3 linked regions of the Lepisosteus oculatus genome follow. Each later gene encodes a partner of the first gene's protein in a complex. Links are inferred from orthologs where the notes say so. Each region holds a gene or a part of one and is shown in the gene's direction. Other genes may lie near its edges.

Evidence for each region. The genes of interacting proteins can lie anywhere in the genome.
Region 2: voltage-dependent L-type calcium channel subunit alpha-1S (region 1) and cacnb1 share a complex: the UniProt entries of both Homo sapiens proteins name them as parts of the calcium channel complex. The link is inferred for Lepisosteus oculatus from reciprocal best matches to the Homo sapiens genes CACNA1S and CACNB1.
Region 3: voltage-dependent L-type calcium channel subunit alpha-1S (region 1) and cacng1b share a complex: the UniProt entries of both Homo sapiens proteins name them as parts of the calcium channel complex. The link is inferred for Lepisosteus oculatus from reciprocal best matches to the Homo sapiens genes CACNA1S and CACNG1.

What each region holds. Positions count from the first base shown.
Region 1 is NC_090700.1:36,990,418-36,998,069, reverse strand, and holds the start of voltage-dependent L-type calcium channel subunit alpha-1S, read left to right. Parts: upstream 1-4,631; 5' UTR 4,632-4,931; coding exon 4,932-5,128; intron 5,129-7,652. Other genes in the region: achaete-scute homolog 5, read left to right, coding at 1-630. UniProt on the Homo sapiens protein: Pore-forming, alpha-1S subunit of the voltage-gated calcium channel that gives rise to L-type calcium currents in skeletal muscle.
Region 2 is NC_090723.1:5,996,378-6,004,273, forward strand, and holds the start of cacnb1 (voltage-dependent L-type calcium channel subunit beta-1), read left to right. Parts: upstream 1-4,868; 5' UTR 4,869-5,011; coding exon 5,012-5,098; intron 5,099-7,896. UniProt on the Homo sapiens protein: Regulatory subunit of L-type calcium channels. Regulates the activity of L-type calcium channels that contain CACNA1A as pore-forming subunit.
Region 3 is NC_090704.1:45,909,758-45,916,914, reverse strand, and holds the start of cacng1b (voltage-dependent calcium channel gamma-1 subunit), read left to right. Parts: upstream 1-4,129; 5' UTR 4,130-4,385; coding exon 4,386-4,626; intron 4,627-7,157. UniProt on the Homo sapiens protein: Regulatory subunit of the voltage-gated calcium channel that gives rise to L-type calcium currents in skeletal muscle. Regulates channel inactivation kinetics.

The sequences.
Region 1 (7,652 bases):
TCTCATGCCTTAATGGAGCGCAGACCCGGCATGATGCCAGGGAGCTGTGTGCAATATGGCATAGCGCCCCCTGGTGGTCACTCACACTCAGAGCACCACCACCACGCCCACCACCGCTGCCACCCCCCTGCTGGACCCGGAGACACTCTTGCTCATGTGCCCTTCCTTCTGTACCCGGCCAACATGGACCCCAGCTACTATGAGGCGTCCTACGGGGGTGCCTTGTTCCCCTACGTGCCTTTCCACGGACACTTCGGGGTGTACGACTGCCCCTTCGAGCCCGCCTTCATCCAGAAGCGCAACGAGCGCGAGAGGCAGCGCGTCAAGTGCGTCAATGAGGGCTATGCCAGGCTGAGGGACCACCTGCCCGGCGCCGTGTCCGAGAAGCGGCTGAGCAAGGTGGAGACGCTGCGGGCCGCCATCCGCTACATCAAGTACCTGCAGGATCTGGTGAGCCGGGGGGCCCAGGCGGGCGCCGAAGCAGAGGAGAGGAGCGGCAAGGGCCCCAGAAATGCCACTCCCACCCCGGCCGAGGCAGGCGTCAAGAGGGACTGCAACAGCGACGGGGAATCCCAGAATTCCTCCTCCTCCGACTCTCCGTACTGCGAGTCCGAGGAGTCGCTGAGCTAGAGAGGGCCGGGCCCTGACTGCAGGCTTGAGGCCTGAAGGCGGAGTAGGGGGAGAACAGGCCCGCCTGAAGCTGCTAGAGACGAACCAGCTCTGACTGTGGCGGGATGCAGACCGACAAGCCATAACACGGGCAGAGGGATAAAACTACCACAAATTAATGAGGGTTTCCTAATCCTGTTCCTGGAGTGTCCCTCTCACTCCTGGTTTTTGATCCAACCGATTTCTTAATTAGATAAAGTAGTTGAACATAAATCAATCATCCGCTTGATTTTAACTGTTTTTGATGCCCATCTTGATTTGAGAAATACTCTCCTTTCTGTGTATTATTTCCATGAAATGTGGCAAATGTGATACGTCAACAATTTAGAATTACTGCTCAACCACAGTGGTCTAAATAACTCCTGATAGATGAGCAATTAAAGATATACAGAAACAAGTGGCAATGACACTCTCTCATTGTAACCATTCTTAGCGATGTGTCGACTCTGTTTGAATGCCAGCTGGTCAGGACCTCTACAGGAGGGGCTCATGCTACCTTTTAACCCCCAGCTATGATGCAGGGAGTGGCATGCTCAAGGGGGAAACCTTTGGGCTCATGAGTGGCAGGCTGTTGGTTTGAGTCCCCACATGACACCCTGCTGTTCTAGAGAGGTGAGTGTTGCTGGGGCTGATCCCTGCAACAGACCAGCATCCCTTCTCGGTGGGTGGGTCCTAACTAGTCCATGACGTTGTGGAAACCAGGATGAGCACTGGACCAATGAATGAGCAGCTCTGGTAAGGTCTTTATCCTTGTCAATCGTCTAACTAAAGGTTCAGCACATTGACAACCAAAACAAAAGTCAGGGTACTCTGATTTTAAAAATCCCAATGAGGCTGGCATCATCCACCACACAGAACCAGAAGCTATCAAGTTCTTGAGCATCACAACCCACTCCAAGATCTATGTGAGTCATGGAAGGCACGTCCATTCGATATTTCAATAGATCAGTGTAATCCCGAGGTTCAGACAACATGGACTGTGGACATCACTGGTTTCAAATTTCTTCTCACATTTCAGTTTAATACAGCACCCCAGACAACTGGATTGCAAAAGTCAAGGCTGACTTCAGAGACTTTGTGGGCCACAGGTTTTTTGGTCATTCCATTCATAACAGTCCCTGAGCGATATTGAAAGCTAAAACATTTTAGGAAGCAGAAGTATTTCAACTGTAGTTTTTAACACTGCTCATAGTGTCTTAGGGGTGGAGAGATCATGACTGAAGGTAAGTTTAGGTAAGACATGAAGGGAAAAATTAAATCACACATCTGTCATAAATCTAAAAACCATTTACAGCCTTTCTGTAGTGCTTGATGATGTCTCCAAACTACTTTAATGAACTGCATTGAACCTTTTCCTGCAGACTGTATTTGCTGAGCTGTAAAAAACATGACACTGTGTTCTTATACGTTTCTGAAAAAAAATGTAATTTTACTTGAAATTACCCAATTTAGTTTTCTTAGGAAAGAGTTTTAATTTTTGAGCTAGTTTAAGCTCAGAAACACGTATGTATTATAATGCTATGATGTGACAGTTTGTCTATAAGATGATAGACCGTAAACAGTAATTCAGCTGGAACATTTACAGAACCTGGGACAAAACAGAGACTTCCAGAAAGAAATGTAAAGGTGCTTGCCTTTCCTGGCCTTTACAGACATAGTAAGGCGGAATGTGGATCTATAACTGTTGTTCCCAATCCTGGTCCTGGTGACCATACACATCTCCTGGTTTTCATTCCAGCCCACCCGAATTGGATAATAATTGAAGCCTTAGTTGATATACAGTAATCCAAGTCACAAGTTTCAGATTTTAATTCACTTCCAAATATACCTATAATGGTAAGGTAGAATGGTACCTTAATTCATGGTTGATGTTATTGCTAGTGAAATGGTTTTGGAGACTTTCTGTAAATCAAAGTGCGAATCCCCTTCTCAGCAACTGCCCTTGATGTTTCAAGGTCATCTGTGACTGCAAAACCACTGAGGTCTTTCCTGTTTGACCATCCTTACACAGTTCATACCAAATAGCAGGATTAGTGTTGTGTGTGTTTGTGATCATCTTTCAATCTTGATCTTATTGCCATGTTGACAGCACTGTACCACTAGAGCCGTGTGTCAAAGTTTGTTCTTTAAATGACAGTTTGTAACCAGTTTTACTGATACTGCTTTGCACTTTATCCTAGACTCTGTGTAGCACCCTTCAACTTGTAAGAGGCATTAGACCCTAGCCCAACAATGATGTATGATGGAAAACTTTCTAATAAAAAGTAAAAATGAAAACTGTGTGTTTGTGCTTCAAGGAACATTTATTTTATTTTTTTTTTCAAAGAGATGCTTCACCATGATTATAGTTCTTTTAAATATGACTACCATCTTGATATACTGTGTTTAGCTCTTTGATTACTACAGCAATTAATGCATTTTTTGCTACTAATGCATAAGTACATACATATAGTTCTACTGGACACACACTGTTTTTGATCTGTCAGATTTACACAACCTAATTATGTGATGCACAGTTATAAACTCAATCCCAGTTCTGGAGGGAAACTGTTTCTGCAATTTAACACCTTTCCCCAGTTTTTCCTGCTGCTGGACTGCATCTCTCCAGTACTGGAGCAATGAACTTTTGTATAGGCCGTACCTGATTAGTTTAACACTTTTCAAAGATCTTCAGCCACTGGTGGTTTTAGGAATCCTAAGAATGTAGCACTCAGAAACTAGAGCTGTCCCTCTCTAGTGCAGTATCTCTAGTACTGCCTCACTTGCACATCCCTGTGAACCACTAGGTGGAGCCATTGCACAGTCAGAGACTCTTCACCTGCACATTCCACCTGGACCATAAGGACTGTAAGTGAAGTCAGTACCCTGATGTTTCATAAACTGCAAATTTATTTTTTTATATTACCGATGTTAAATGACTGTTCTGCTTATATGAATTTATATAAGCATTCCATTGCACTTAAAAGCATTTCATGCATTTGACAAATAAACTGAACTCTGATTTATGCAACATTTATACTTTCCGAAATAAGACTGAAATAGCATAATACATTGTTAGTTACAGAATGCAACACTGCAGGGAATACCAGCAACACAAGCGTGACCACATGAATTAGTGTTATCATCATTAAGAAATCTGTAGTTTGTTTGGGCTCTGGTTATTATCAGATGGCAGCCAGGCAGTGTCATTAGAAAACTTCTGGTTGAGGCCTCACAGGAGCTCTCAGTGTTGTAGGTTTAATAAATGCATACCTCTATCATTGTTAAAGATTAAAAAATAATTACCGGATTCTATATTGAAGATTAATTTTGTCTAGTTTTGTTGGAACACTTCATCACAAAACCAAGGTTTAAATGACCAACTTTGAAAAAGCTGTAAACTGGATTAGCTGATTTGGGAGTCTTGAAATGGAGCACACGATTTTGGCAAATTTGCAGAACCGTATATTAGCACAGCAGTTTGTTGTGCTCAGGAGGAGTAAATGTTTAAATAAAGCTCCTGAAACTCGCTTCCACGCTTCGTCGCTTCTCGGTGTGCCACCTAAAACTCCCTGCCACCCCACTCTGCTGTCTCGCTAACAGGCCTGTTATAAACACTCCCACCATCTGCACTGTGTCACTGAAGACAGGCATCGAAACGTGCCGTCCCCTCCGCTGCTGCTGTTTAACAGCTCTCAGCATGCCTCCCCTTCTCCTTTCCCCCAGCTCCACTTCCTCCCCCCTCGCCCTCCCGGCTCTGCTCCGAGAGCTCGGAGCTACAAGTGGGATGAGCCGACGACAGCTGCACTTCTTTTTCCTACTTTTCTGCTGCCTCAGGGCCCACAGGCTATTCGGCGGCCCCTGCGCCTCTCTGCCTCCCTGCTCTGCTTACGCTGCCCCATCGCCACCCCACCCACCCCCCACTGCCGAGACATCGCTCACAGTCTATATTTAAACCATGCTGGCCCGGCTCAGGCCGCAGAGGCAACTGCTCCTCCTGCTGCTTTCTGCCTGGTGTAGTTTTACCCTCTGAGAAACCCAGCTCAGCAGAAAGGCACTCCACTCTCCGCTGAGCGAGAGAGAGTGAGAGGGAGAGCAGGCGGAGGCGAGGGGGGGTGTGTGTGTGAGTGTGTGCCTGCTGGTCCCGGGAAGGAAGGAGAAAAATAAAGGAGTGAGGGGGAACAGGCGAACCCGGGCTTACCAGGATTACAGCGGGAAGGATTACTGGGTCCTCGCCTCACACACCGTCACCGTCGGGACACGGCTCTTGGTCTGCCCCCAGGATGGCTACGGCGGAGTCCAACGCGGTGGGACCTGCCGCCTCCATCATCATGGACAGCGAGACCCTGAGGAGAAAGCAGAAGGAGAAACTGAAGAAACTTCAAGCCACCGGCGGCAACCCCCGGCCCCCGCGCTCGCTGTGCTGCCTGACCCTGAAGAACCCCTTCCGCAAAGCCTGCATCAGCATCGTGGAGTGGAAGTATCCTTCGGGGCTCGAGCTCGGCGAGGCGCGTGGACGGCCAGCTCGGGGGCCAGCTGAGCAAAAGAGAGGCCAGCGGCTAAGAGCATGGCCAGCCCTCAAACCGGAATGAAAAGTCAGTAAGTCACTCTGAGGGCAGGAAGCTACAGATTGTTGGTAGTTGGGACTGCTGTCTTTGTCATGTCTTCATTTATGCAACGGGAAACTTTGTGTTTGGCTAGTCAAAGAAAGCAGGGCTGGCTCTCTCTAGCTGTGTTTATGAGGAGCCCTACACCCTTGGATTTAAAAGGGTTGATCAGTTTCTTCACATGGTCATGAGTTGTTTATATGGCGTTGCGCAGATTCAACTTCCCAATAATCTTACAGCAAAGGGCTTTTGTATTAAAGAGAAAAAATAACATGAGACAACGCTGGCTTTTGAATAGTTCATAGTCTATACCTGTATTCCAAGTGCAGTTCATAGACAATTGTTCATATTTTTCCATCTTTAAATGGCTGGATTTGGAACTGTGACCAAAAGAAAGATTCTTCTGTTAAGTAGCTTTTTCCGAAATTTGGTTTGGAAAGTTCGCGATTAATCATGGGACAGGACACCGGCGTTCTCAGTGGAGTTGCTTCTCATTTCTAGATGCAGAGATATTTCTGGATACATTACGACCTACAAGTGTGAGCAGTTTAAAACCAGTCAGGCACAAGGATTATTCATTTGTTAGCACAGGCTTAAGAAAGCAGTTTTGGTTCTGAGAGGTTTTCAGTTTGGCAGTGGGACATGTTTACTGCTTCAAGAGTCTTATGTTAGCGAAGGCGCATAATGTTCCTAAAATGTGAATCGAGACTTGAGACCTTTCTTCTTGTTGGTAAAGATGAAAATTCTAGTTCTTACTCCTGGGTTCACTGATTAATGTCAAAACTTAAAAAAAAAACAATTATATTCACCCTGGGTCAAAGGTTAGGTTAACCCATAGGCACTTCCAGAAACTGAATAATTTTCTAGAAACATCAGAGGAGAGAGCCTTTTGAAAACAGCATTTTTCCAAGATGGGATAATGCGCTTGGCAGCTAGTCAAGGAGCCAAATACGGGAGAAACGTGCTCCCAATGATCGAAGCTGATGATAGAAATTTAGGTGTTTTTTTAATGCATATATATTTAAACGACACAATGATATTCTGGGGCACTGCAGCTGTTGGCTCGCGTCACAGGCTAAAAACAGACACCACTCTCTGCTGGCAGGGGGAATTTTAATTCCAGCACCCCCTTCTGGCTGAAAGGGAGACCAGTTGAGCGGCCCCTGTAGTATGAAAACACTGACACCTGTAGTGGTCCAAATGACTGAGTAACTTGGGAGAGGGCCAAGGTTCCACTACCAAAGCCTTGCAGCGGCAAGGTGTCTTGAACTGTAAATCAGGCGTGATCAAGGTGTCGGCCTCAAAGTGATTCATGGAGCTCCTGCATCCTGCGCATTTGTGCATGTCAGGATGCCTTCAATAGACATCAATTTGGATGGCACAGTTTCACAAAGCATCGTTCCCTATAGTTTACATTGAAATGAAAGTTCAAGACCTTCTGAGTTTGCTTAAGAAAAGCCCCTCTTGTGGCACCGCAGAGATTCGATAGTCATGCCACAAGACAACGACCCATCTCCCCATTACATAATGACTGAAATAGTAGAAATGTCTAAACATCCACCAACAAGAGAACATAAGAAAAGTTACAAATGACGGTTAATCAATTCCACACAATTGACTTAAGAGGTATTGAGTCATAGTCCCACAGACGACAGCACTGCACCAAAGTCAAACACCTTGCAATACAACACAGTAAGCTTGAAGCACCACAGTGATGTGATGGTAAAACCTGCTGCCTCACAGATCTTTGTTCTTTGTTCTTTGTTGGCTTCATTGTTGCCTGGGGGGCTTTTTGTGTGGAGTTCATATGTTCCATCCATGTCCACACAGGTTTTCTCCCACAATCCAAAGCCATGATATTGAGGTTACTATCTCTAACTTTCTCACTTGCTCACATGTGTGTGAGCCTTGCCCCTTGTACCTGCCCTCAGCACAAAGCAGTTACTCATAATGGATGGATAAACTATGTGTCTCAATGCTTAAACTTGTAATGCTATTTAACACTTAACCTCAATGTCTTTAGTAAGTGTTAAGATGTTCTAGAGCTGGGGTCTCAAACTCAATACCTGGAGAGTCTAGTGTCTTCTGGATTTTGTCCCACCCATGTTCTCGGTTACATAATTGGTGTAATTGTTGTATTAGCTACAAAAATGTAATGCTTTTCAACCAGGGTAGGAAGTGTTTTATAAGTAACCTTTAAGCAAAGTGATTGGAGAATTGATAGCTTGCGTAATCAACTGTAAAACACTCTATGAAAAATTTGTATAGGTCCAATTTAGAAATAATTAGGTTAATTGTTTGAATGACTAATTAGATTGGAAAAATCAGAGACCTGAGTTCTAGAGAATCGTCTAGTTTAAGGCAAAAGGCAAACATTTATGTCAGGACACATGACTA
Region 2 (7,896 bases), on another chromosome or scaffold:
CATCTAAAAGGTACTGTTCCCCTTAAGATTTGTATCCGAAATCATATTATTTACAACTCTTGACTTGAAATGTGGCAAGTACTCACGAAACAATTGGCGTTGTCAAGTGCGAATTGATACTTAACAACATAAAACTAAGAACTGTTGAGGGGGCACCCGGATTTGAACCGGGGACCTCTTGATCTGCAGTCAAATGCTCTACCACTGAGCTATACCCCCACAGGCTCTCGGATATTATGTCACCTGTCGGTGTGAATTCACCTGTACAGGTGTCCACTACCTGCCTGCACGGTGGTTTAGGTGGGATCATATCATTTGCAGCACCTCGTGACCATGAAGTGACAACTCATTAAAAACTGAGTTTGCCAGCAAGGTTTTCATAGGTCGGAAACAAGAGACACCCAGATGAGCAAAAAAAGAAAACCAGGACACAGGGGGCACCCGGATTTGAACCGGGGACCTCTTGATCTGCAGTCAAATGCTCTACCCCTGAGCTATACCCCCACAGTGCTAGAGTGGTTTGTCACCTGTACAGGTATCTCGTCTCGCTGCAGTGTTTTATGTGTGATCAAATTATTTGCACTTCCTCGTTGCAATAAAAGGATAATTCATCAAGGTCTGGTGTTGTCAACATGGTATTAATAGGTGGGGAAAGAGACAAAAGAAGTACGTAGAAAATCAGGACACAGGGGGCACCCGGATTTGAACCGGGGACCTCTTGATCTGCAGTCAAATGCTCTACCACTGAGCTATACCCCCACGCCTCAATTATGGTCTCACGTAATTGTTTGTAGTTCTTGGCAGCAAAACTAGATAAGCCGAACAAATGCTCGGATTGGAGTGATAGAATTAGTGCGGTAGTTATCTGGATTCTGACGTAGTTAGTAAGCTAGTGCACCGAAAACAGAGTTTAAGTTCCGAAAAGGGAAAACGACGAGGGGAAGGGACTCGAGTATTTATGAAACACCCCCCCTGCCGCCTCGCTCAGATCCAGCTGTGAGGTTAGGAACTGGAGGACGCGGGTGAAGACTGAGGCCCAAGTGATAGAAGATGGAGAAAACCCTTGACACAAAGGCTGATGGGAGAAAGCAACCCAGCCACGTGCTTGGAGCCGCTTCTCGGGGTTCTTTCGAAGTTCATCTCTCCTGCGGCGCCCCAAAACTCCGGACCTCAGTCCTCGAGGATAGCGGAAGAGCACCTTCCCCGAGCGCATTCATTCCCCACTCAAATCCTTCTTCTTAAGAAGTTCATTTATTCAGTTAGTGCCGGCGTCTGTACTTTCATCCTCTACTGCATTGTAAGCCCTTGTTTTCGATTGTGCTCATTCTGTTCTCTCCTTTCCTCGTGAGCTTTTCTCTTTTAACTGGAAAGCGCTTTGAGAAGCTACTACTGAAGCCGCTATAAACAGTGAAGTTGACTATTATTATCATTTCAAGAAACCTCTGGATTCGATCCTTTAATCAATTAGATACCAATTCCAGATGTGCCGAATTCCTCTCGGTAACCTTTGACACATTAGTCTTTTCCTAAACGGAACCGGCACCGTGTCGGTACCTCCAAGTGGTCTTGTGAAGCATGTGGGTCCTTCAAGATCGTGGCCCGGAGCCCCACACCCACAGCTGCAAGAGCTGCTGGGGTTGTTATAATAATAATAATAATAATAATAATAATAATTATCTATTTTCGATAATGCCTTTAAAAGTGGCTTGTCAAATCGCTTTACAGTAAGAAAAAAAACCCACAATGAGGGGAGACGTCGGAATTGCACAATGAATCAATCAATCAAAGTTTGTTTATCAAAAGCACAACAGTACAGCGTGCAGCAGTAGTTGCTGCCAATGAAATGTCTTTTCTGCAAGGGGAAATACAAATAAAAATCACAAAATTAAAAGTTACAAAATAATGTTACCTAATAATAGCGCAATGAAAATAGAATGAAATGAAACTCAATTTAAATAGCTCTGCTACATGTCCAGGGCGTATGCAATACATCATGTCCAAATAGTGCAACATGCAGTGTTAACTGGATTTCAAACTGGATGTCCATGTAGCCTGACCAGTTAGCAGTGATCGTCAGGGTGGTTGCCGAAGGTCACTGCAGCTTGGCTGTGTAGCAGTCTGATTGCCTGAAGGTAGGAGCTGTTCTGTGATCTGTTGGACTTTGACTGAATGCTTCGACGCAATAAGGGTTTGGAATACAGTAGGAAAGCAAAGGGGGCAGACACAGATCCAGTTAGGTAAAGATTCTTCTAAAGAAGAAGGATTTGAGTCTGGATTTGAAAGAGCTGAGGATATAGTTAGGGATAGAATTCCCCAGCTTTGGGGCATAACTGGAGAGTCTCCTGTCACCCACAGAGTGCAGACGGGCTTGGGGGACAAACAGGAGAGCAGAGTCGGCCGAACGCAGGTGGAGGGGAGTGTGAGATCACAACTCTAACGCGAACTGAGGTGCCAAGCCAAGCCTGACAGGAAGCCAGTGCAAGGACTCCAGGACAGGAGTAAGGCGCTCGCTTGCACCCAGGGGAAGCTATTGATGGTGTGTCCGTTTACTCCAAACTCATGCAGCCCCTCCCTTCATCCCTCAGGCCCCCACCGGCCAGCTACTGTATCTGACTACGTGGTCTTTTCTGGAGATGAGTCCGTTGCATTTTTTGTTCGTTGGGCGGGGGCGGGGTCAAGCGGAGCACGCCTGCCGGAGCGCGCAGAGCGAGCGAGCGAGCGAACTCCTGTAGCGGCAGCGGGCGCGCACGCTCGCTGCGGGGCTCGGCTGGCTCGCCTCTGCAGGTTGCGTTGCTATGGTGACAGCGAGCTCACGGTGCGGGGAGGGCGCGCGTGTGTGTGTGTGTGCCGGGCCCGTCGGTACAGCACAGTCCAGCACTCAGCGCACCGGGCGACGACGTCCAGCCTCTGAGCTCTTGAAACCCACAGGCGGCAGGGAGCGACATCAGCTGCCAGGAGTGAAAAGTGTGTGTGTGTGGGGGGTGGAATGAGCGTGGAATATCGCAAAGCAGGCACGGACTACACGAGTACGTGTGACTCTCGTCTGCCGTTTGGTGTGCATCTTACACAACTGCCGAGGGAAGGCGGTGAAATCAGGGGCGGAGGGAGGGATTTATGTACAGGGTATAAAAATCTCCAGTTTTGATACTGTCAGCAAACGGAGGCAGCCCTGAACCTATCTAGGCAGTTGCTAAGGAACTCACACTTGATAGGAAATTCCAGTTTACAAGGGACAAGCAATCTTGTGCCTTTCATTTAACTCCGGCCGGTCTCTCCAGTTCCTCACTAACTGAGCAGGACTATTTTAAAATAAGGCTTCCTTTTGTATGTGCAGTGAAAGCTTAGCGGGGTTTAGTTTTGTTGATGCGGACAGAGCAGTGCCGTGCAAAGGGTACCAGGCTGTGCTGCAGGTCAGGCTGAAATGCTTCTCAACGGTTTTCCTGTCCTGAGGCTATATTGTATCGTCTTTTTGCGATATGATGCAGGTAATGTCCAGTTACAGTCCAGTTCCCAAGCATCTCCAATGTGCTACTGAACATGATCAAATTCGGGTTGAAATAGAACATTAGTTTTGGGGCTAATGATTGCTCACGACTCCCCCAGTGCACGATTCTCTCAGAATATCAGCCGACAAAGGGAGGAAGTGAGAGTCACATGCTATGACAACACTAATGATAAGGATGTATATTGTTTAATAAAGGAAAGTTTGAAGTTGTTTGACAGGGTGAAGTTCACCCGCCGGGCTACCGGGACCGACACCTCCCACGTACGCGGTTCAAATAAAGGACAATGATTTAATCTATAAAATTAAAGAAGGAAAGCCGGGGAATCTTGTTTTTCTATACTTCGGCTGTGTCGCCTCTCTTTCCAGAGAAGCATCGGTCGTTACGGAACTCGAATTAAAAGCAACGAGTATAGAGACGGCCGTCTCTCATCGGACTTGACAAACCCGTTATTTTAGCAAGTATCAGTAACTTCATAACACGATAACAGCTACAAGTCGGACAGACCCAGGCACCCGCCTCGGGGCGTGAAATGTTCCAGCGTCTGTAAAGGGGGCTTATTAGATACCGTCGGCTGCTCCCTTAGAAGACACTGAACTTCCTCTCCGTGCTGCCAGACTGTGAGGGCTGTGGTAAAACACGCTCCAAGACTGAGAAACAAACTCCGGCGACAGCATCCTTCTCCTTGGGTAATTTTATCACCCCTCGAAGCTCGGCTTCTGTTTTTTTTTTAACCTATTTTTAAATGTCTTTTCACAACCTCAGCTTCGCCTGCTTTTTTTTTTTTCGCCACCCACCCACTCAACAGAGAACGAGGAAAAGGAAAGGCGGCAGACAGGAGAGTGAGAGGCAAGATGCTGTATTCGCAATCGTCGGAACCTTCCAGTCAGCGGCATCTTTGGGAAAGTCACACATATAATTAAAAAAACAAGTCGCTGTAGCCTTCTTTTATAATCATACACGGGCGCCTCCTCAAAATCCTTACTACAGTCGTAAAATAGACTGCGAGAGCTGTTGAGTGTACCCCTCTTTTTTCCGAATTGATGTTTTTTGAAACTGCAGTTTTTTCCCCCAAATACAGTGAACCCAGCTACCCGGGCACCTGCTTAGAAGAGACATTTGCTCCTTCATAGGTGGAGAGGTCGGGGGAGGGGCACACTAGAAAAGCCACGCCCCCTCCCCCCGTGTGGCGTTATTAACACCCATGATAGTTGTGGCAGCCAATCGCTGCGCGGCAGTGTGCAGCTTGTCCAGCCGTGATTGGCGGAGGTAGGCTGAGAGGGGCGGGTAGAGCCGGAGGTGGGCGGGGCCGAGGGGTTCAGCAGCTGGATGCTGGGGCTCATTGTCTGTGCTCGGGGAGAGCGAGCGAGCAGGCGACGCACAGCTGTCTGTCGCTGTCGGGAGGATACACTGAGCAGGATATCGGAGAGAAAAAAAAAGAATTGTTCATTTCCACCCGCTAAAAATGACTAAACTGTGAATATTAACAATACAATAACAAAAATTCAATGGTACAGAAAAGTAGTATGTCCAGGACGCCTTCTACTTCTACACAGGAGATTCAAATGGACATTTTTGATAATCCTAGCTCACAGGTAAGATAAACCCTTTTTTTATTTTTTACGATATGGTAGGAAATTCCAGGTAAAAAAACAAACATATAAAACCAAGACTGTAAACTAATGAAATTGTGTCGCATTTTGAATGCCTTTCTCCTTTGAATCTAACTAAAGTGAGAAACCACTCAATGATGGTGTACTACATAGGGCAAACGGTATTATTTTTTGTTTGCAGAAGAATTAAGATGTAATATGTAGGCAATAAATCTGAATGTACACACGGCAACGAACCCAGTCATTTGCTAAACCATAAACGAGTGAAGGAAACTTCAGTAGATATTCCAATATTGCCCCCATCATCACCATTCATACGGATAAAACGCTGAACACGCTTCAAACACACCGTTATATTTAACAATACGTCGAAAATGTTTTTTTTCACAGGAGTCTGCTTGTAGTTGTGATTAGATAGCTGATATTCTCTTCAGTTCGGTTGTTGCGCTGACCTTATTTAAGTCTAAAAAATTAAAGCGTTTATTTCTACATATATATAGGGTGGGGTGACTTTCATTCCACTTTAAAACAAGGCAGCAGAATTGTGTTTAATGAATCAGTTCATGTGAAATGGAAGTGTTTGATTAATATTGGTACTTCACGAACAACATACCGTTTTGACAATCTGGAGCTACAGGAGCGGGAGCAGCCTGACCACCTTATAGCTGTCCTGTTTCCGAGTCGGTTTTTAAAGAGGAGTGAGGAGTCTGTCACAGTAATTTGGCGTTTTATACGTTACAACCTCCTTCGGATAAGATGCCGTTTCAATAACACGACGGCTCTCGTTTACGCTTTAAACTATTATTTTAAAAAGACGATTTCTAGCGCTTTCCTCCCTGTAAAAGCAAAACCAAGGCTCCGCTGAGAAGGAAAAATGGGGAAAAAAGACGAGATGGGCTGGAAAGCGCAGCCCGGGTGTCGCTGGCGGAGGAGGGCGCGTGTGGCGCGCAGAGGGGTTCGGTCCTCTGACGGCCGCGAGCGCGCCCGGCGTTAGCCCCTGACGTCGGCGGTCACTCCGCTCAACCCACGCGCGGGCGGCGGTCCGCTCGTGGTAGCCTTGCAGGGCTCGGGAGAGTGCATGACAGCTCTCTCCAGTCCCCACAGGTGTTAGACCAGGCGTCTTACACGGCCCAGTATGGTTCCCATCATGCTACAGTACGTCTGGAGGTCTTCAGTCCAACCCGGCTCTTAACGAGCCAATCAAGCTAATTATTGGCCTAATGGATGCAGGTAAGTGTCCGTGCTTCAAAACCTGCATCTTGGAAAGAGCACAGAAATAGGCCTCACATGCACATGTGCTGTATATCTGCTTTTAAGCAAGGTGCTGAAAAGGGTACATAATTCAGAACTCGCCCGATTCATCAATCGCCTTTGCAAATGTCTGTTTCTAGCTTGTTTTTATTTTTGGCTCCTTAAAGAAATGATTTTTCCAGGCCTTTGATTTACCTTAATCTGCCAGAACAGTTTTTATGGGGCCGTGGTTCTCTTCTGTGTGTGTCATAATATATTATAACGATAAGACAACACCACCGGTAAAATAGACAGGCAAGCTGTCTATTTCAGCCGAGCTTTTCCTGTTTGAAATTTTATTTTTATCTCCCAGCGTCTGCCCTCCTTGGTTTGAAACGGATAGCTTAGGTGTGAGACAGAGAAAGCTTGTTTATCACTTTGAATGTGCATGTCAGCTTTCATTAACATTAGCTGGGATTTTATCTTTCAACAGCAACAACAAAAAAATAGGGCCCACACTGTACCATAATTAACTCCTCTGATCATTCCTGTTGTTTTAGGACACCAATGGATTTCCTTTCTTTTCTCCCCATGTAAATACAGAGAATAATTTGGAATGTTTCGGAATTTTAACGAATGTGTTTTTAATGTGGCAGTATGGTGTTGTCCATTGCACACTGGGCTGTATTACTAAAATATCCCTAGTTCGTTCCTGCACATCGGTTAAGTTTTTCACCAGCATGCGCAGTGGGATTGGTCTTTGATGGTTGATGGTCTTTGAAGGGTTCTGTAATAACTGACCCGTTTCAACCCCCTGGAATATTTTAAAGAACAACTTTACCTGAACAAGTCCAAGGCAGCCTGGTGGAAAAGCCTTTTGGGCATGTGATGAACTCATGAATGTGAACTTCATCTGTGAACACAATAAAACAAAACACCTCACATTTGAGAAGATGTACAGGTAGTTACAAGAAATAAAATAAAAAAAAACAAGTAAAAAGCAGGGATTGAACAGAAGCCCAGTCTGGCTGCATAGTGTTAACCCGTCTGAGGGTTTGTCTACTTTACATTAATGGACAAAACAGATTTGCTCCTTTTAATGATTCTTGTTTGACAGTTTATTAAAAGTAACATCTTGCAGCCAGTATATTTCTTCAGTCTGTGTCATGTTGCGCACAGTGAAGTGGTCATTCTCCGTGTTTTATCACACCCTTTCATTTCTGACACATTCACTGCCCACTAAACTCTCATTTTACACCAGGGATTATTTGCTTTGTTGTGTTTTTGTGTTTAATTCGAAAAACCTGGAGGAAGGAGCTCTGAGCTCTGTGTTCAAAGTGTGGAATGCTGTTGCAGCCGAAGTGGGCTGAAGACCAATCCAGTAGCACTGAAACAATACTGTAAGACGGTTATTTTCACTCAACGGACTAAAGAAAAGAGGATGTGGATTGGTTTTGCTTTGAAACGGTGCGTATTTATGCTTAATTGTGTTCTGCATATTCCACGCAATGAAATAATATGCACTAAAAAGCACTTGGTCTTCCGAATAT
Region 3 (7,157 bases), on another chromosome or scaffold:
AGGGCATCAGAGAAGAGATAACTGTGATTGTGAATGGATGGGTAGATAACCTTTCACACTCCACCTCAACAAATGTGCTCACTGGATTCTGGTCAGCTTTGTATCCCTGTGGTGTGCTGCCATACCTTGGGCAATAGTGCTTTCTATTGAGACTCTCAGTGTCAGCCTGTGGTCTGACTGCAGGTTGGAATTCTAGGAATTCTCATTCCTGGGTCCTTATTTCAGGCAGATGGCCAAGGAATAAGAGGCTGTCTACCCAGAGACATGAGCAGTAAATCTGCTGACTGCAGAAGACCCTTCAGCTACCCAAAAGAGAGAGGGGGGGTGAAATTGTCTATAGGAAAGCTGAAAGAAGGAGGTGGAGAGACGGAGGAAAAGCTCTTCTCCTGAGCTTGCAGAAGGCCCCGGGGGTTGCCTGTATATTCCAGGGTGCCCACATATAGACACAATCACAGGTCAGCACGGAGAGAACATGCACAGTATGGAATCAAGTTGAGGACTCAAGAACTACCAGGCAGCAGTAATTAACAATATACCACTGTGCCACCATAATGTGAAGACAGACAGGTAGTTCTTTGTTTATGTTCCCTTAATTTGCTTGTTTCCAATTTAGTGCTCCTTATAATATATTTCCTCATTTAGAACAGAATAACTCTTACTTTAACATGCTTGGCCACAAAGTCTTAGAGAGTGTATTCTGCGTGTACCCAGTATCGGCCTGTATGCGAAGGAACACATTTTCCCTAACTCACTCTTGCTGTTAGCGTTAAGTTGTGTTAAGGCGCTGTCAGAATCGTCATCCCTCCTCTTAAGGGCGCTCCGACCCTTTCGTATTTTAGTTCATTTCGTGCACCTGCCCCCTGTTTAGCCTGACACTATTTAAGCCTGGCGGTCTCACTAGTCCTGGCTCAGCACTGAGGGATGGATGCCCAGAAGCCCGCCTACCAGCAGCATCCTGACCATCTGAGTCCAGGGCTCAGAGCGCCTGGCCTCGTCACCCTGGTTTTATTCCCTGTTCCTGTTCCGGATCCCATTCCGGATTTTAACCTTGTTTGTCTCGGATGGATCTCCCAGTTCCTGGACTGTGCCCCAGATTCCCCCTTGGACTGTCTGGACTCGTTTGCCCATGCCACGCCCCCCGAGCGCCGGATCACTGTCGTCACGCTCTCCTGTCTGCCAACCCGTCCTAGCCTGCTGTACCTTCCCTGTTGTCCTTCTCCACTTACTTCCGGATTATACCGTCTGCACAGGGTCCTGAACTACGCCTCGCAGGGACGAGGGTTTAGCAAGCGTGCTATAGAAATGCTTGGTAAGGCGAATAACATTTTGATCAGAGCTCGTCCAATAATGTGGAAAAGCTGGCACTTATTTATGACGTTGAATAAATCAAATAAGCTTCCACCCCATTCACTACCCTCCCCTAACAACAGTCTTCACTTCATGTTTCATATGAAATTGATCGACATTAACGAACATTTCTTCCAAATGACTTTTAGTGCAACTCTATAAGCATCTTATATTGAAACATTTGCTTATTTTAGTTATTAAGGGGTTAAAATCTTTGGGTGAGGGTGAACCCCAGAATGCTTCCTCCCTATATACATTCATATTTATGTGAAACTGCTGTGGAATTCATTTTTAATTTACCCATTTCTGAACTGTGCGGCATTTTTCAGGAACGCATTCATTCACATGAATCAAGAACTACCCCTACTGCATTTTAACAGAGATTAAATGGTTCAAGTTGTCATTTGGATTTTTTTTATATTGCATCTCATAAATACAAAATATATATCCCACCAGCATTCCCCAGCTTCTGAATCCAATCTAACTGGGTTTTACCACTGTAATGCATTATGCATTGGGAACCCAGGCTCCAACCACAGTGTGATTACTGTACATAAGTGCTCTGTCTTGTGCACACCTGAGTCGCATATCATTTCAGATTTCATTACTAATCTCAAACAGAAACCTGTAAGTGCAGAAACACTTTGGCATCCCATGTTAAAATCCAAAAGCTCTATTTAAATTGTCACAGGAGTAATTGGGTCAGAAGACTAAGAAAGTAGAGCACAGCTGACAATTTATAAAAAGCACTTCACTACGGAGTGCCCTATGGAGAATATGCTGCAGACCGCGGAAGGCGTGAAGGGCCGCTTGACATTGAGCGAACAGGAAATGTGGAGGACGAAGGACACTGAAAGCAGGTTCGGTTCAGCTCCAGTTGTCCCTCGGAGCAAGAAGACCCTCTGTCTTCTCAGACCCACTCGTCTCTCAACGGCCATGAGTCAAGCCCTGGGGTCCAGAAAGTCAGGGCTCCAAACCCGAGGTGGCCCCCTGACCTCTCCTCACTCTGCAGGGGTCCCTGCGATGTGCTGGGTTAAGCAAGCCTGGGACAGGGTGCAGTCCTTCTTCACACTGGGCCAGGGGGAGCTGTAGGACAGTTTCCACGCACTCGCCACCACATTCCACCACGCTCTCTTCACTGCAATTAACCTGCTATCCCACCACGTCTCCCCTTCTGTTCTTCTTAAACCTTTCTACCTGCCCTCTCCATGCTCACCATTGAGTTCAACCCACCTGAGTTTAACCTTTTGCCGCCTGTTTGTCGCACTACTTTTTGGATAACGGACACTGCCTTCACCACCGACTACGGACCTGCCTCACCGACCGGATTCGGTGTTCGGACTCTGCTCTCTGGATAGCGGATCTCCGCCCTCCTTCCTGACCACAGCACTGCTTTCCGATTTGGACTTCGGTAATGGAACACGCACTCTCTCTCACTCCTGCCTCGCGCAGGGTCCGAATCAGCCCCACTGGTATTTGACACAGGTTCCATTCACCAACAATGGAGATGTCTCTTTAAGGGCTGTCATCTTGGTAGGGGAACCTCCCAGACCCCCAGCACCTCATAGCAGTCCTCTACGATTACAATGTCCACAGTTGTATGCTACTACACAGCAATTCCTAGGGTTTACGGAAAAGTGCTGGAGAGACAACTACTAGGATCAGAGGTTAGGGGCACCGGGATGATTTTGAATTTAACACATTCTAGAAGCCAACTTTCTTTTTTACTTACAATAGCAGTTACACAGACAGTCCTTTATCTAACATACTCACCGTGCGTACCAAAGTGTCTTAAACAGAGGCTCAGACTTTCCTGTTTCCCATTTATTTCTACAGCATGAATAGAAACAGCTCTACGTGATGCTATGCCAGAAACTATTTTATCACTGGTGTGACAAGGGTCACATCTTCCCCTTTCACTCCAATAACAACAAGGATGATATAAGGCCCATAGTTTCCCATCTGTTTATCCGTCAAACGTTAAGTGCCTGTAGATCGGAGATCTGAAATGTTCTGTTTAATGAGAAGCTAATTTATGGTAACAAATACACCTCCTGCATCTCTGAGAGCAATGACAGCACGTTTGCATGTCTGCGAAAACCAACAGCTGTTGTTTAGACACAGATTTCTCTGTATAAATAGTTTATAGTAGCATTTAAACTAAGTGCCTGGTGGGAATAAAGTTTAGATTAGGAATGTTAAGAATACTATGATGATGCAATTGAATAAAAGTTCAGTAAATGGGGACAAATCAAGACTGTGAACACAGACTGCACTCTTCAGAACAAAACAGAGCTTTTCACACATTCAGGTTATCCAAGCTATCCTCATAAAGCTCATCAGAAAATAAAATTCGAATGCAACTAAGAAATGCATTAAAAAACTATTATTCCCTTTGTTCCAAAAATTAAGGAGAGAGATATTGCAAAGTGATTTCAAGGAAGGAGAAAAGAAATTCAGACTCAGTCGTTTTCACTTTGCACTAACACAACAACACCAGGAAAATCGAGGCTTTATATTAACTGTAGAAAACTCAGCAACACACAGCAGAAACCTCAAAAACTATGCCCACACTCTTCTCGGTGATTAATGAAGTACTTGTAGTTTAGCAGACGGCCACAGCCCTGTGCTTAACGGGCATGCTGAGAAAACATAGAGACGAAACCTGATAAGTGGACATCCTGACAACCTGACTCACAGCTCACATTAATAGCAGCAGCTACCCGCCCATCACAGGCAGCCAGTGTGGTCATCAACTTTTCTGATATGCATCAACAGCTGTAGTCTGAACCACACTCCTCCTCACTCCATGAGGAGAGAGAGAGGAAAAGAAAACTAGGGCACTGTTTTCTGGCCACTTTTTTTTTTCCTCCCAACGAGCGACAGGGATTTGGAGTGGGCTGAAGCTGCGAGCAGAGGGGACGTGGGAGTGGAGGCTTAAGGAGAGGTCTGCAGAGTCCACAGGCAGAGCGGCGGAGGTGAGGCTGTGAGGCAAGAAAAAAAAACCCCCGCTCCAGTGAGAACCGACAAGCAGAGCCATGCTGGAGGACAAGACCACCAAGGTGAGGATAGCGTTCTTCGTCATCCTTGTCGGGATCTCCGCCATGTTCGCCGCCGTGACGACGGATCACTGGGCGGTTCTGAGCCCGCGGGTCGAGCGCCTCAACACGACGTGCGAAGCGGCTCACTTCGGACTCTGGAGGCTCTGTAAAAAGACCATCTACATGGAGGAGCCGGACCCTAGGGGCAAGGGCTGCGGGCCCATCAGTCTGCCTGGAGGTAAGACCCTTCCGTCTCTGAGCGCTCTGGGCCCCAGGCCCACCAGGGGTAACACCGAGGTGCGGGGCCGTGTGAAAGGACAGAGAGAGCGAGGGGCTCTAACCCAGCAGGGCTGCAGGGCTGCTCCAGGAGGAAGGCGCTGTTACAGCGTTAGTTTGGCAGGGTTGACAGATAAACATCTGGGCACCGCGCCTCTCCCTGTGGGTGTGCTCCTCGCGCCCCGGTCAGAGCCAGCTCGGGCGCTCAGGACCTGGAAACCTCGCTCACGCAGACAAGCGGGATCACTCACTACACCCGGAGTTCGAATTCAAATTCAAATTCCTCCAAGACCAGCTGCAGTACGTACAGTCACATACACTTTATACATAGAAGAGTTGTGGGTATTGTATATGTACATCTATCCATTAGCTTGTCTGTAGCCCAAAATGGGAAAACACTACGTTATTGAGAATACCGATCGGACGCACAGAATATTCAGATAATCACGGCAATGGCGAAAAACAGTCTTTAAAAATCAGCACTATTAATCCTTTTTAACAAAAAAAATGCTCCACGCACATTTTAATGAAACTAGTGTTCATGATTTAGACAAAACCAACATCCGTACAAACATGATTTATGCAACTTCAGCCTAACAAAAGAGCAGAGGTCTTCCCTGTTCTTCACACGTGTTGTGCTGTAACATCCCAAGAAAAGTCCTGCGATGACAACTCTGTGCCACCAGTCACAGACAAGCCAGCCCACTGGTCTGCTTGTTAGAAACTGAAACAGGCTCTTCTGCTGAAACAGCGTCTTTTTAACACAGACGGTAAGACAACTCACCACTGAGAGATTTCTGATAGAGAAGGAACCTTAATACCAGAAGAGCAGAGATTCATTTGATGCAAATCATAAAGCAACACACAACCCCAGCTCCTTTTCATCATGAACTACAAGAGTAGACATAGAAATGTTTTGCCTGAAAGATTTATTTGCAAAAGAAAAAAGAAAATGAGGCTCTTCATTGTCACAAGGGCCCCTTTAAATGCACAATTTATGTGCAGTGAACTGAAGCAAGTAATTGTCTGTGTCGGTATGTGTGTTATATGTTTGCAAAACAAGATGGCATGGTACCATGGAAGACAGAGCTCTTAAAAAGGAGCCTGTTTGTATATTTGGCTGACCTGGCTTCCAATATCTGGGTGAGATAGGAGCTGGGAGAGGTCTCTGTTTGCCTAAAAACACTATTTACAGTCACAGAGCAATAGGTCTCACTTTGCACACTTTTGTAGTAGTGCATCAAAAAAAGAATTATTGCATGAGCAATGGTAAATGTGCACCATTAACCCATCCGATTTGATTGGCAAACAATTGTCTAATAGCTTTTAAGAAAGAAAGAATGGCATTTGCTTTTCTCTCTTCTTCCCTAAGACTTAAGTCTATGGCGTTAAATGCCCCCTGGTTGAAAAAGACATGTCTTCATAAAGCAGGGTCTGTTAAAAAAGAGAAATGTGGCCTCAGTTTTTTTTTTTCATGAAGTGAAGCATTTAACCGCAGCACATATTTGGGAAAAGCTCTCTTCTGCCTCCAGCACTTACAGCACCTAGAGAAAAGCCCCCAAACCCAAGGTGGAAAGAAGAGGATCATAAGTGAATATTCAGTGAACTGTGAATATTGTGTCATTCAAAAAATGTTTAAAGATCAACCCTATGTTTCACTGTGTCTCACCTGGGCTGTTTCAAGTAAAGTTGCATTTTTTTTCTTTGAATTACTCGCATCCAGTACCTCAGCTACAACTCCACTGCAATTGCTTCCCGTTTCCCTGCTTGATAGGGCTGAGGGCTCTTCCTACAGCCGCCGCAGTGTGCCGAATCTGCAGCCGGCCAGCCCTCCCTCAGCGCAGAGCTCCCTCGCTGTGCGTTGAAAAAATGAAGTTAAAGGACATTACACGCACGAGTCTTGTGAGAGATCTGCACACAGAATCCCCTCACAAGTGGAACAGCCAAGGGCTGTGCAGAACAGCTCTGAACTCGTCGCCGCAGAGACAGAAAACCACAGACCCTCATGCTTCTGAGCGTTTCAAAGGCATCCTGCAGGTTCACAATGTGATTTTTCACAGCTTTCTAGCAAAACGGAGACTTCTGCCGTTACATGTTGTTACTAGTCCAATCCTTATCAAGCTATCCCAGTTTTGTGACCTGCTTTGCAACACATAAAAAACATAACGAAAGTCATTCAGCCCTTTTAGTTTGTTTTGGAGTGAGGACAACCTCTCTTTCTAGTGCCCTGCTTTGCCTGCTCCTTCGGTTTTTAATTTGCTTTCCGCAGTCTCCCTTCCTTTCATCGTACTCTGCCACTGGATTGTCTTTGGAGGGTTGAGAGTCTTCACTTTTCCGTTAGCGGCCTGGGGCAGCGCAGTGTGTCGGCTTGCTTAAGCTCGTTCAATGAAACAGACGCAGGGAGAAGCAGCGAGTAGAGACCGAAGAAAATGACAGTGGAACTGATTCAAAAAACCGCCCAATTTAATAAGACAGTGTTAATAAGACAAGGCA